Linked DNA regions of Arabidopsis thaliana. The protein of the gene in region 2 interacts with the protein of the main gene of each other region in a pairwise test. Each region holds a gene or a part of one and is shown on either strand. Other genes may lie near its edges. The genes, in order: FES1, FRI and AT5G61920.

The links.
Region 1: the proteins of FRI (region 2) and FES1 interact in a two-hybrid assay, tested with the Arabidopsis thaliana proteins (one study listed by BioGRID).
Region 3: the proteins of FRI (region 2) and AT5G61920 interact in a two-hybrid assay, tested with the Arabidopsis thaliana proteins (one study listed by BioGRID).

What each region holds. Positions count from the first base shown.
Region 1 is NC_003071.7:14,312,865-14,316,617, reverse strand, and holds the start of FES1 (Zinc finger C-x8-C-x5-C-x3-H type family protein), read left to right. Parts: upstream 1-1,903; 5' UTR 1,904-2,051; coding exon 2,052-2,175; intron 2,176-2,515; coding exon 2,516-2,609; intron 2,610-2,693; coding exon 2,694-2,917; intron 2,918-3,055; coding exon 3,056-3,753. Other genes in the region: AT2G33840 (Tyrosyl-tRNA synthetase, class Ib, bacterial/mitochondrial), read right to left, coding at 74-156, 251-356, 606-702, 795-1,078, 1,164-1,317, 1,507-1,607. UniProt on the Arabidopsis thaliana protein: Transcriptional activator involved in the FRIGIDA-mediated vernalization pathway, but not in the autonomous flowering pathway. Acts cooperatively with FRI (FRIGIDA) or FRL1 (FRIGIDA-LIKE 1) to promote FLC (FLOWERING LOCUS C) expression.
Region 2 is NC_003075.7:266,802-270,554, forward strand, and holds the start of FRI (FRIGIDA-like protein), read left to right. Parts: upstream 1-2,099; 5' UTR 2,100-2,224; coding exon 2,225-3,163; intron 3,164-3,556; coding exon 3,557-3,562; 3' UTR 3,563-3,729; intron 3,730-3,753. Other genes in the region: KEA2 (K+ efflux antiporter 2), read right to left, coding at 1-988.
Region 3 is NC_003076.8:24,862,312-24,866,064, forward strand, and holds AT5G61920 (FLX-like protein), read left to right. Parts: upstream 1-1,978; 5' UTR 1,979-2,182; exon of another isoform or gene 2,183-2,517; 5' UTR 2,518-2,518; coding exon 2,519-3,087; exon of another isoform or gene 3,088-3,169; coding exon 3,170-3,317; 3' UTR 3,318-3,708; downstream 3,709-3,753. Other genes in the region: AT5G61910 (DCD (Development and Cell Death) domain protein), read right to left, coding at 1-25, 244-689, 804-917, 1,008-1,418.

The DNA.
Region 1 (3,753 bases), on a different chromosome or scaffold from region 2:
CAAAACAAGTCAACAACTGTGATAACTCTTATCTACTTTTGTAAACTTAGAATTTTGGCTAAGTTATAGTTACCTCTTCATCTTCCATAAAGATAGCAGATAATGGATCACTTTTGGACATCTTTTCTTGTCCTTGTTGGAGACCAGGAAGCATATCTGCAAGTAGTTAACAATGATAAATGATTAACAACACGCTAGACCAGTTAAAACGTGGTATAACAGAAGTCAAATAGGAAAATGCAGAGCATACGGTGTGACAAGATTATCGGTTTGTTTTTCCTCTTTATGTCATCACAGTATTCTCTCGCTAGCACATTTACTTTTCTTTGATCCATCCCAAGCTGGCAAATATCAGCCTACATATGTAACGAAAATGGTTTAACAGTAGTCACAGAACTCATCAGCCAGATACACAAAATGTAACATTACATTGATAAAATCTGCAATCATATACAGCTTATTTCTAGCCTGGAGCTTTTATCAGGTGTTTTATCAACAATATAATAGACTTTCTGCTGATGTAACGCTTAAGCTAAATTTTTTATTCCGAGTAACTAGCAGCAGAATCAAAGACAGTTCATAAGCAAGCAAAGGCTTAACAGTACCTCAAGGAAAAAAATATCTGCACATTGCATGCATGGGTAAAGGATCTGGGCAGCACTCAGTTCATCAGTCTCACTACGTCCCATAATCTGCACACACCTTCAAGGACAAGAACCAGAGTCATTCAGGTCCCATCATTTCCCTCACATAATTACAACGTCCCAAGAATGGAGAAGATTTAGAAAAGTAACCTTAAGATTCTAGGGAGCTTGTTTTTGCGAGCAATGTCCATCACAAGAGGCCAATACTTATCTGCCTTAGAATTAATTTCTTCGGACGACCACAAAAACTCTACTTTGTCATTATCCATCCCAGCAGCCTTCCATATCTCTTGAAAGTATTCTCCAACCACTCTGATTTTCTTCAAGTCACCACCCATTTTGTTGTTCAACTGAGCAAACCAATCAGCAATCCAAATCTTCACTCTGCAACCAGCTGAAGTCATTTTGTTCACATTGATGACTTTCATCACTCCCTATTAAGAAAACAACAGAACCAAAATAGATTAGCCAACGCTTCCTTCCCACATATGGTAATGGAACAAAGGAAAACTAACAGACCTGAGCAATGTGCATTCTTCCTGATGGTTCAAAGCCGTCGTAGCAAATCGGAGCAGCCTTCTTAGCAAGAAGATTCTTTAGCTCTTCCTCTTGTATACATTCCTCACCGATACTCCTAACAATTTTGTATCTCTTCTCAACTTCTTCACTCATCCTGAAGAATTAGTAAAATTTCAATATCTACCAGACCAATAAGCAGATAACAAGATCTTTTCAATTTTAAATTCCATACTTCTAAATTGCTATAGCTTTTTCATCTCTTCCACTCTAATCAAATAATATAATCCAAATCAAAATTGAAGCGCGAAAATGAAAAAAATTGATGATTGGTAAGAAAACTCACTGGAATCCATCGGACGAAGAAGATGCCTGAGTTGATGAAACGGAAACAGCTTCCATCTCCGACGACAGAGCATTGACGATCTCCGAACTTTGGTCTGCCATCAAATTTAGCCGGCGGCTCCTTCACAAAATTGCGAAATTGCGGAGGATTCTTAGGGTTTACCAGTGGCAGTGATGGAGACAGTTAACGTGCAATATAGCACCACTACGCTTCACGATTTTCACGGTTTGATTCGATTCTCTTTAATTTTGTTTTGGTTTAATCCGGTTACTATAAAAAGGCAACGATGTGTTAATTTAGGAAATAGTTGGTAAAATTTGGAATTTAGTATGGGCCTTAATACTAAAGCTTTAATTATTTAGGAAAGGCCCATTAGATATAAAATAGTTCGGTGGTCTTTGTAACAATGGTGGTTTCGATATACCAAACGTATTCTCGGAGATCATCAGGACTCAACAGCGAGCTTCGGACCCCGATCACGCCGCAGTATTTTTTTTTATCAATTTACCACTCTCTGCGTTGGTTACCTCGCCGAAGACTTCAAGATGTCTGATTCCGACATGGACATTGATGATGATGAGGTCGAACAAAAGGTGCAAGTACATACAATTGTAAGAGAATCTGAATTGTTTGATAAACCACCAATTCAAGCTTCCAATTCCCACAACGGTTAGTATTTGAAATTCGTGATTGGTTACATGGTATTGTTGATTAATTCTGTCAAGTTCGTGTTTTTATTGATGGAAACACCTTTTCCAATTTGGAATTGATGAATTTTGTTCTAGAAGAAAGAGAGAATTGTTAAATTGACTAGATTTAGCTCTGATTAGAGGTTCAAAGACTTGGCAATTAGATTTTCACTGAAGCTCTTTTGTAAAAATTGTGGCTTTAATACCAAGTAAGCAAATTCAATTCTCAGAGTTTTGTGCTTGTTTCTGTAAGGAATCTCTTTTGTTTATTCAAAACAGCAGTTTTGCTAATATGTACTGATTAAACTTGTCTCATGTAGATGTGAAGAGGCATTCTGTAACAACACCTTTAGATGAGCAATCAAAAATCATAAAGGAGCAAGCTTTTGCTCAAGATAATGGTACTTTACCAAGGTATGGCAAAAAAGTTTCTGCTTAAGTTTTGCTGAAACTAAGTTAAGAGGTTGAAGCTTTTATACTGACAAATTCGGTTATCAGATTTCCTGCTCCGGGTATACCGCCAAGAAGCTTTTTCACTGGCGGTGGTGGGAATGAACCAGAACAAAAACGTGCAGCTCTTCCCTGCAAATTTTTTGCTAAAGGGTGGTGTTTCAATGGGGTGTCCTGCAAGTTTCTACATGTGAAAGAGAATTCAAATTGCACTAGTCAACAACTGGCGGAAAATAGTATGGCTGGAAACGGTGGTATCCGGTCTGATCTAGGTACGTTGTACCATGAATACTTATTCTTGTGATTCTATGTGGAGGTAGTTCCAACAATATAGAGGCCGGTGAATATCTATGGGGTTTAATTACTCTTTCTGAATCAACCAATAATTTATTTTGCTTATGTCTATTCAGAAAGAAGAATTTTGGACAGCAGAGAAGGTGTAAGAGTTTCCCAGTTAAGCGAAAACGGTGTGACATCGTTGCCTACCAGAGAGGATATATCTTTCATGAATCCTCAGAGAGTTTTCTCCTCCATGTCTTTTGTGAATCCCCCAGGTTCTCAGAGAGTTTTCCCGTTCAATAACGAGATGCGCTTTATGCCTTCATTTGAAAACATTAGAAGAGAGAGTTTGAAGCAAACGTATGGTGCTGATTTCACTGACAACAGGTCTCTAGTTATTAATAACGCCAATTCCTTCGCATTGAGAAGCAGCTTTGTTCATGAGCATAGACCTTCTATCAGTTCCTATTTAAAAACAGACATGGGATCTGCTGGACCAGCCTGGACAGGATCATTATCCAGTTCTGTTCCTATGAATGATCGTGCTTCTACGGTGGGGGATTTTGAAAATGGGAATAGTTTATCTGGATCCGGATCACTTCCAACGCTGCAAGGGGTAGCTGTTTCTTCTGATAAAGGCGCAGAAGCCAACACTACTAGCACTAAAAAGAAAGTTTCTTCAGATGACTGGGAACCTTCTGAACCTTTTAAAGCATCTTTTACAATTCCACCTTATATTCTTCCCTCGTCTGATGCCCTCTACGATCCTTTCACGGATATAGAGAATCTAGGAGACAGACCTCTTAATGATTCATTGTCAAGTAAAGGA
Region 2 (3,753 bases):
CAAGCTCAAATGCCACAGCTTGTTCGGCCAAAACCATGATATTTGCAACATCCTCCTCGGCTTTCAATGCGCTGATCTGCGCTCTCTCGGCAGCCTCATTCAATCTATCTACTTCCTTCTGCAGCTCGTCCTTCTTAACTTGCAAACGCCTGAGTTGTTCCTCACAGCTTGCTAAATTTTCTTGGCATTCTTTTATGTCAGCCTTAGCAGATAAAAGGGCTTCCTCTTTATCTTTAACACCATCTCTAACCTCACTCTCTTCAGAAGTATTGTACCCTTCTGCTTCTAGTGATTCAAGTGCAACCTGCAGCCTTGCTTCAGCCAGAGATAATGCCATAGTAGCCTTCTGAACAGCTTCTTTAGCAACGGACTCTTCATCAACAGCCTCTTGAACCACATTAAGTGTTTGGTTTACATCGTTCCACGCACTGGCTGCTTCATCCTTAAGTGCTATCGCTACCTCTGAAATCCTCTGAGCCTTTTCTTCAAACATGGTACTGTTGAGACTAGCCACTTCCAATTCTTTAGTTGCCTTATTCAGTAGATCCCTGAGTTCCTCCAAACTAGGTGCAGAATCTTGCTCTCTTGTGTCTTTCTCTTCCTTAGAAAACGTAACCTCCCTGTCATCACTACCTTCAGCAAATTCCAAATTCCGGTCATTCCCAACCAAATCTCCTACAGAATCGCTACTTTGACAAAGTAACCTAAACCCCAGCGGAACATTTTGGGGTTTTGCAGGAAGCAAATGACCGTAAAATCTTCCATTGAAATCAGCATTCAAAGTCAAAGAAGAACGATACGATACATTTCGTTTCGATCTAATAGCTGAGCGAACTTTAGAATCAATCATCGGATCCCAAAATCTAGTGCCGCCGAGTCCTTTGGGACAGAGTTTCGCACTTATCATTCGATTCGGCAAGCAGTAACTCGCAAAATCCGCACCACCGTGAAACATACTCTGGCGCTGAACGCTAGACGCAAAATCCATATTACTGCTGCAGAAAGACGGAGAGAACAAGAGACTGACCGATCATAAGAGAAGAGAGCTTCAAGGCTTCAGCTGATGAAGAATCAATGGCGGCGAGAGTGAGTGAGAATCGAGTAGTTACTGAGAGGAAGATGAAACGTATCTCCTGAGAAAAAACGTAAGAGAGTTCCGTTTCAACAGTATTTTTCTCGGCGGTCTTCAGATTTTCCGTCCAACTCTCTCTTTCCTCTTTCAGTTTTTTTTTGCCCAATCACTCGTGGTAGGATTTTTTTATAAGAAAGTTACGAAAATGCCCTCTCGTGCTTAGAGAGATTCAATTCGTGCACATATAATATGCCGTGAATATACCACCAACTCTCTTACTCGTACTCGCATGTGGTGCGTGCAATATACACGTGGTTCGAATCAACGGCTACGTTTTACTGATAGGTGGCTCGTTTAGTTTTGCACTGCCTTTGGGTGCGCGTGACCAAGTCATTTTCCAAATGTGTTTTAATATTTGTGAACTATTATTAATAAAAAAGCGAGCGACGTTGTTCGTTGATGAGGGAGCGACCGTACGCTTGGCGACCTTCTCTGATTGCGTAGAGTCGTTTTCCTTATTGGGCTTACCTAGTACCGTCAGCCCACAATGTTTTCATTTCTTTCCCACCTAAAACTAAAAGTACTCACAAGTCACAACTTAAACCAAGTACACAAGGATTTTATCATGGGATTATCGTGTTTGAAGACTAAAAAGAGCACACCATCACCCCCATTAGTGCAGGTAGAGTAAGACAGTAACTTTTGGGTTCATATTACCGAGCAAGAACCGTTATTTGTGATTAGACATGTTATAAACCACTGCTTTAGTGACTATTTAAAACAATATATTACATGTCGTAATCATGCAACCTAACTATGTTTTCATTAATCAAATACAAAGAATAAAGAGAAAAGTGCGTAGATTCAATTATTTGGCATAGACTCAAAAGAGTGTATATATATCTGACTTTTATTAAATTATTAAACACAAATACATATTTTCATAAGCAAAACTATAAAAGCCCTAAACATATAACGATTACCTCAAAGGAAAAAGTCGTTTTCTCCTAATTAAAAGATAGGTTACTTCCTAATTAATATATAATTTATGTGAACTTCACAATATACAGTTCAATAAAATTTGGTAATTTGACCGATTTAAGGAGAGTGGAAATTAGGGCTTCTGCAATCTTTTTTCTTCGCCGCAATCTCATGTCCAATTATCCACCGACGGTGGCGGCGCAACCCACAACGACGGCGAATCCACTGCTGCAGCGACATCAATCTGAACAGCGACGAAGAGAATTACCGAAGATTGTCGAAACAGAGTCTACAAGTATGGACATTACGATCGGTCAATCTAAGCAGCCTCAATTTTTGAAATCCATAGACGAATTAGCTGCGTTTTCAGTTGCAGTGGAAACATTCAAACGCCAATTCGATGATCTTCAGAAGCACATCGAGTCAATCGAAAACGCAATTGATTCCAAACTCGAGAGTAACGGCGTTGTCCTCGCCGCGCGGAACAATAATTTCCATCAGCCGATGTTATCGCCTCCGCGGAACAATGTATCTGTAGAAACCACCGTCACTGTGAGCCAACCGTCTCAGGAGATTGTACCGGAGACGTCGAATAAACCGGAGGGGGAACGTATATGTGAGTTGATGTGTAGCAAAGGTCTGCGTAAATACATATACGCGAATATCTCTGATCAAGCTAAGTTAATGGAAGAGATTCCTTCAGCTTTGAAATTGGCCAAGGAGCCAGCGAAGTTTGTATTGGATTGTATTGGCAAGTTTTACTTACAAGGGCGTAGAGCATTTACTAAAGAGTCGCCTATGAGCTCTGCGAGACAAGTTTCGCTTCTTATACTGGAGTCTTTTCTTCTAATGCCTGATCGTGGTAAAGGGAAGGTGAAGATTGAGAGTTGGATTAAAGATGAGGCGGAGACGGCTGCTGTTGCTTGGAGGAAAAGGTTGATGACTGAAGGAGGATTAGCTGCGGCTGAGAAAATGGATGCAAGGGGTTTGCTTTTACTAGTTGCTTGTTTTGGTGTTCCTTCAAACTTTAGGAGTACAGATTTGCTGGATTTGATAAGGATGAGTGGTTCGAATGAGATTGCCGGTGCTTTGAAGCGGTCACAGTTTCAGGTACCATATTCTGTTCTCACTCGGTGAATTTCATTGCAAAGGTGGTTCCTTTTGTTGACATCATCGACCAACATCAAGTTCCATCTTTGTTTTTCGATAAGCTTGATGGTATAAACTAGGAGAGCACATCAAATATTTAGAGTGCAATGACTGATTGAGCCAAATCCTAGCTAGAAATTAATCTGGAAAGAACTTGGAACTCTCAACCATAGGTTTTGGTACGAAATTGTTGCTTGTCAGAACCAAATGATAGGCTATTGCCTTGAAATAGTGTTTCTTGTGGTTTCCAATATTGGAAGTTAAAATCATATGACTTAGCTGTTGGATACTAATTAAGCTTAAGCAATGCCAACTCTAAGAAGTGGTACTTACACAATATTCTATTGGTCATAGGTATAGTTGAATCAAGTATCAAGCGTGGAATGCATATTGAAGCTCTTGAAATGGTTTATACCTTTGGCATGGAGGATAAGTTTTCAGCTGCTCTAGTTCTAACTTCATTCTTAAAGATGAGCAAGGAGTCATTTGAGAGGGCAAAACGGAAAGCCCAGTCACCGCTGGCATTTGTATGAACCCTTCCCTTGCACATT
Region 3 (3,753 bases), on a different chromosome or scaffold from region 2:
CAAGCGATCTGATGCAGATCCATATCTGTCATTGCAAAAAAACCAAGCCCTATGATTACACATTCACATATAAGTAACTGCAAAGCCAGGAAATAGGAACAATGTAAACATCTGAAGAGTGGAGGAACCTAGTAGAGTTCTCAGGTTTAGCTATGATTTTAAACATCTGATGGCTACAACTTCAGGTCTTCAGTGAGCTATGATCGACATATTTGGGCAAAGATAAAAGTTCACCATAGGTACCTCCGAATATTAGATAAAATGGTGAGGTATTTGAGTTGAGGATCCTGAATAGATGACCGCGGAGGTTCGGACCGAGGAGAATCTGAGCGAGAAGGGTCTCCGAGCAACCGTAGTTGCCGAGCTTCTGTAGGATAATAAGGCTGATTCAAATTTGACAGACTTTCTCTAGGTGGGGTCGTGTAGTCGTCTTGTCTAAAGTAACTATGTTGAAGCAGAGATGTGCGGGGAACAGGCTGATGGGCCATAACAGAGCCAAGTCGTGGTTCTACATGACGAGCAGACAGAGGATCTAAAACCGATGAAGCATTTCTAAGATGTGTAGCCGCTATGAACCTTTCCTCAAACGATAGAGTCCTAGGTGCTGAAGCTCTGGAAGCCAACCTATGAGGCAACAAATCGAGTTCTGGAGACGTAAATGAACGAAACAATGATAACAGAGACATAACCTGCAATCCATGAACATTTTTGTTTAGCATATCATAATTGAAACTTGAAAGCCAAGCCGGAAAGCCTGGAACTTTGAAAGGCTGTGTTATAAATAGCAAGAAAAAGTGTATTACTTGGTGAGGAGAAAGTTCTTGCTTAAATTTGGAACCTTTGTAATTTTCATAGATAGCAGACTTGAAAGTGTTTTCTGTCAAGGGTAAACAGTTCATGACAATTCTAAATCCAACCTGCCAAAATCAAGTAAGAAAATAGAGAAAAGAACAATCTTAGGCAGTGCCATATAAACAAAATCATATGTGTTTCACACACAGGCTTACTTGAGCTGGATATTTCCCTTCAAAAGCTTCAGGTTCTATATCCAACCTGCCACCAACAGTAGCTTCATACACACCATAAAGAAGTCTCTTCTCAAAGTCATAGAGGAAAAGCTTCATGCCTGGCTTTATACTCTCAACAACGTCTTTTCCTCCTCTTGGAATCCCGAAAACACGGTAACGGTAGCAATCGGTTTTCGTTCTCCCATTACACATAAAGATATAACCAGGTAGTTGCTCATGATGATCTAGTCTCCTTTCTATTCCTTTTTCTAATCCAATGGTTGTGTTTCCATTCCCATAAGCAGCCACAAGACTTCTATTATAACCCGGAGGAGCAAAGTATTGGGAGGCAGTAACATGTGAATTACCATTAGTTTGTTCACCATCTGAGAAATCCATCTCCGTCTCCATCGCTTCTGCCATTTTCAATGCATTTCAGTACAAGTACGAAGATGACACTGAAATTACAAATTTGGAGCTTAAAGCGATTGAAACAAATGTGGGATCAAGAAATAATAATAAATACCTCAAAACGAATTAGGTTATGAGAATCTAACAGAAAAAGCTTCTTGAATTTCAGAAAAAATAAAATCAAAGAGAGATATGTGAATGAGGTAAGAAGAGCAAGAACAAAACTTACTTATCGGATATTGAAACCCTAGAGACAGAAATTGAAAATCAGGAAGATTGAATTCGAGAGATATTTTTAGCGATCAGCTCATTATTAGCTTTCGATTTTTATTCAGATAATTTCAAGCGTGCGAATCTGAATTGATGAAGTTGGATTCTTCTTCCCTTGTTCAAAAAAGTCGGGAGAAGAAGATGACTTTCAGAGAAGGAAGCTGAAGGTCACGTGACAGGCATGGAAGGGAAACTATTAAAATGGGCCAATTACTATCTAATGGGCCTTAATGGATTAATACTGGCCCAAATCTATAAACGAAACTAATTTGGCGTCTTTAATGGTTTTTAAATCACAATTTACAGAGAACTGGAACTTTTTTCTGACAAGCCGAGACCAAAGCTGGTGCTGTTGTGGAATCGATCGTTGTCTTTGATTTGATTAGAGATCAGGTTTTAGAGCATAAAGCTCTTAATTTTGCGACACTTATCTCATTTCGGTGTTCGGTTTCAGCTAATTTTAATCGAAGATCATCTCTCTTTGTGAATTTCAGGTTCGTCCAATTGTGATAAGGATGATATAAGGGTTTCTTAGGATTTGGTAAATTGGGTCTTGTTGTTAGCTTGAGAATCTAATTCGTAATTCCTCTTTCTGGGTTTTCTTCTAGCTCGTGTCAAGATACGATGTCTACAGATTTGCCATTGTCTTCGATTACTCAATCTCATTGCATAGATAATTTGTCTGAAAGAAGATAGCATAGTGTTGAATTTAGAATTTGCACTCAATTCGCTTCTTAAAGTTTAAGTTTTTAGGTTAAAAAGGAACTCTTTGTTTTTCTTTGTTCAATCTAAGTTTTTGAGTGGAGTCTTGTCTTTTTCTTTCTTCCAGAATGTCTTCAAGGGAGAGGATAGGTTCAAATCATCATAGCCGAGTTAGCCAAGGTATGTCAACTAGTGGATCATCATCGTCGAGGCACCACGATACCATTTCTTCGACTTCGGATCCTCGTCATCTTCGAGACCACCAGATTTCACTTTCTGATATTCTAGAAAACAAGATTGCAGTTCAAGCTGCTGAGATAGACCGGCTCTCTAATGACAACCGAAAACTAGCTTCAAGCTACGTAGCTCTCAAGGAAGACTTAACCGTGGCTGACCGCGAAGTCCAGGGGCTAAGAGCTCACATCAGAAAGACGGAAACAGACCACGAGATTCAGATCCGATCGACTCTTGAGAAAATAGCGAAAATGGAGGGTATGGTCAAGAATCGAGAGAATATAAGGAGGGAAGTGCAATCAGCTCACATTGAGGCTCATAGATTGGCGAGAGAACGTGAGGAGCTTGCTTCAAAGGTGAAGTTGGGAATGAAAGATTTGAAGAAGGTTTGTCTTGAGGCAGAGAGTTTAGAGGCGTCGAGTCAAGAGCTTGAGCGGTTGAAAGAGGAGCATCAGAGATTACGGTAAAAGAATTGTCTTTTACGTGTCAAGTAACTGTTAAAGATTCATCATCAGTTTTTTTAACCAATTGGTTTGATGGAACAGGAAAGAGTTCGAGGAAGAGAAGAGTGGGAACGTAGAGAAACTTGCGCAATTGAAAGGGATGGAGAGGAAGATAATTGGAGCGGTTAAAGCGATTGAGAAGCTGCGAAGTGAGATCTCAACCGCAAGGAACAAAGCTGTCGAGAATTGAATGGTTTTTACTTTGTAGGCTGACCAAGAGGCTCCTCTATATAGGGAGGATCACAAGAACCGCAAGGATCGCAAGAGGATCAAAGCTGTATATGAGTTTTCATTTTTTCTATATCAACCTGTTTCTTCTGAAAAAAAGATAGAGAGTAATGAGTTAGAGAAGTGCTTGAATGGTCGATCACAACATCTGCTGAGAATTAAACACCAATGTAGAAGAAACGAAGGAGATTATTCTACCGCCTAAACAAAGAGTCTTCAGCCATCTTTTTTTTTTTTTTTTTTTTTTTTGGTCAACCTGTCTTCAGCCATCTTAATACATTCTTTAGTGCCTCTCGTGTAAAACAATGTCAGTTCATCGAAAAACAAGACCGGGTTAATCTACGAATCTGGCTAATAGACAATCGCTAGTTCTATTCTGAACAGTGAACGCCTTTAAG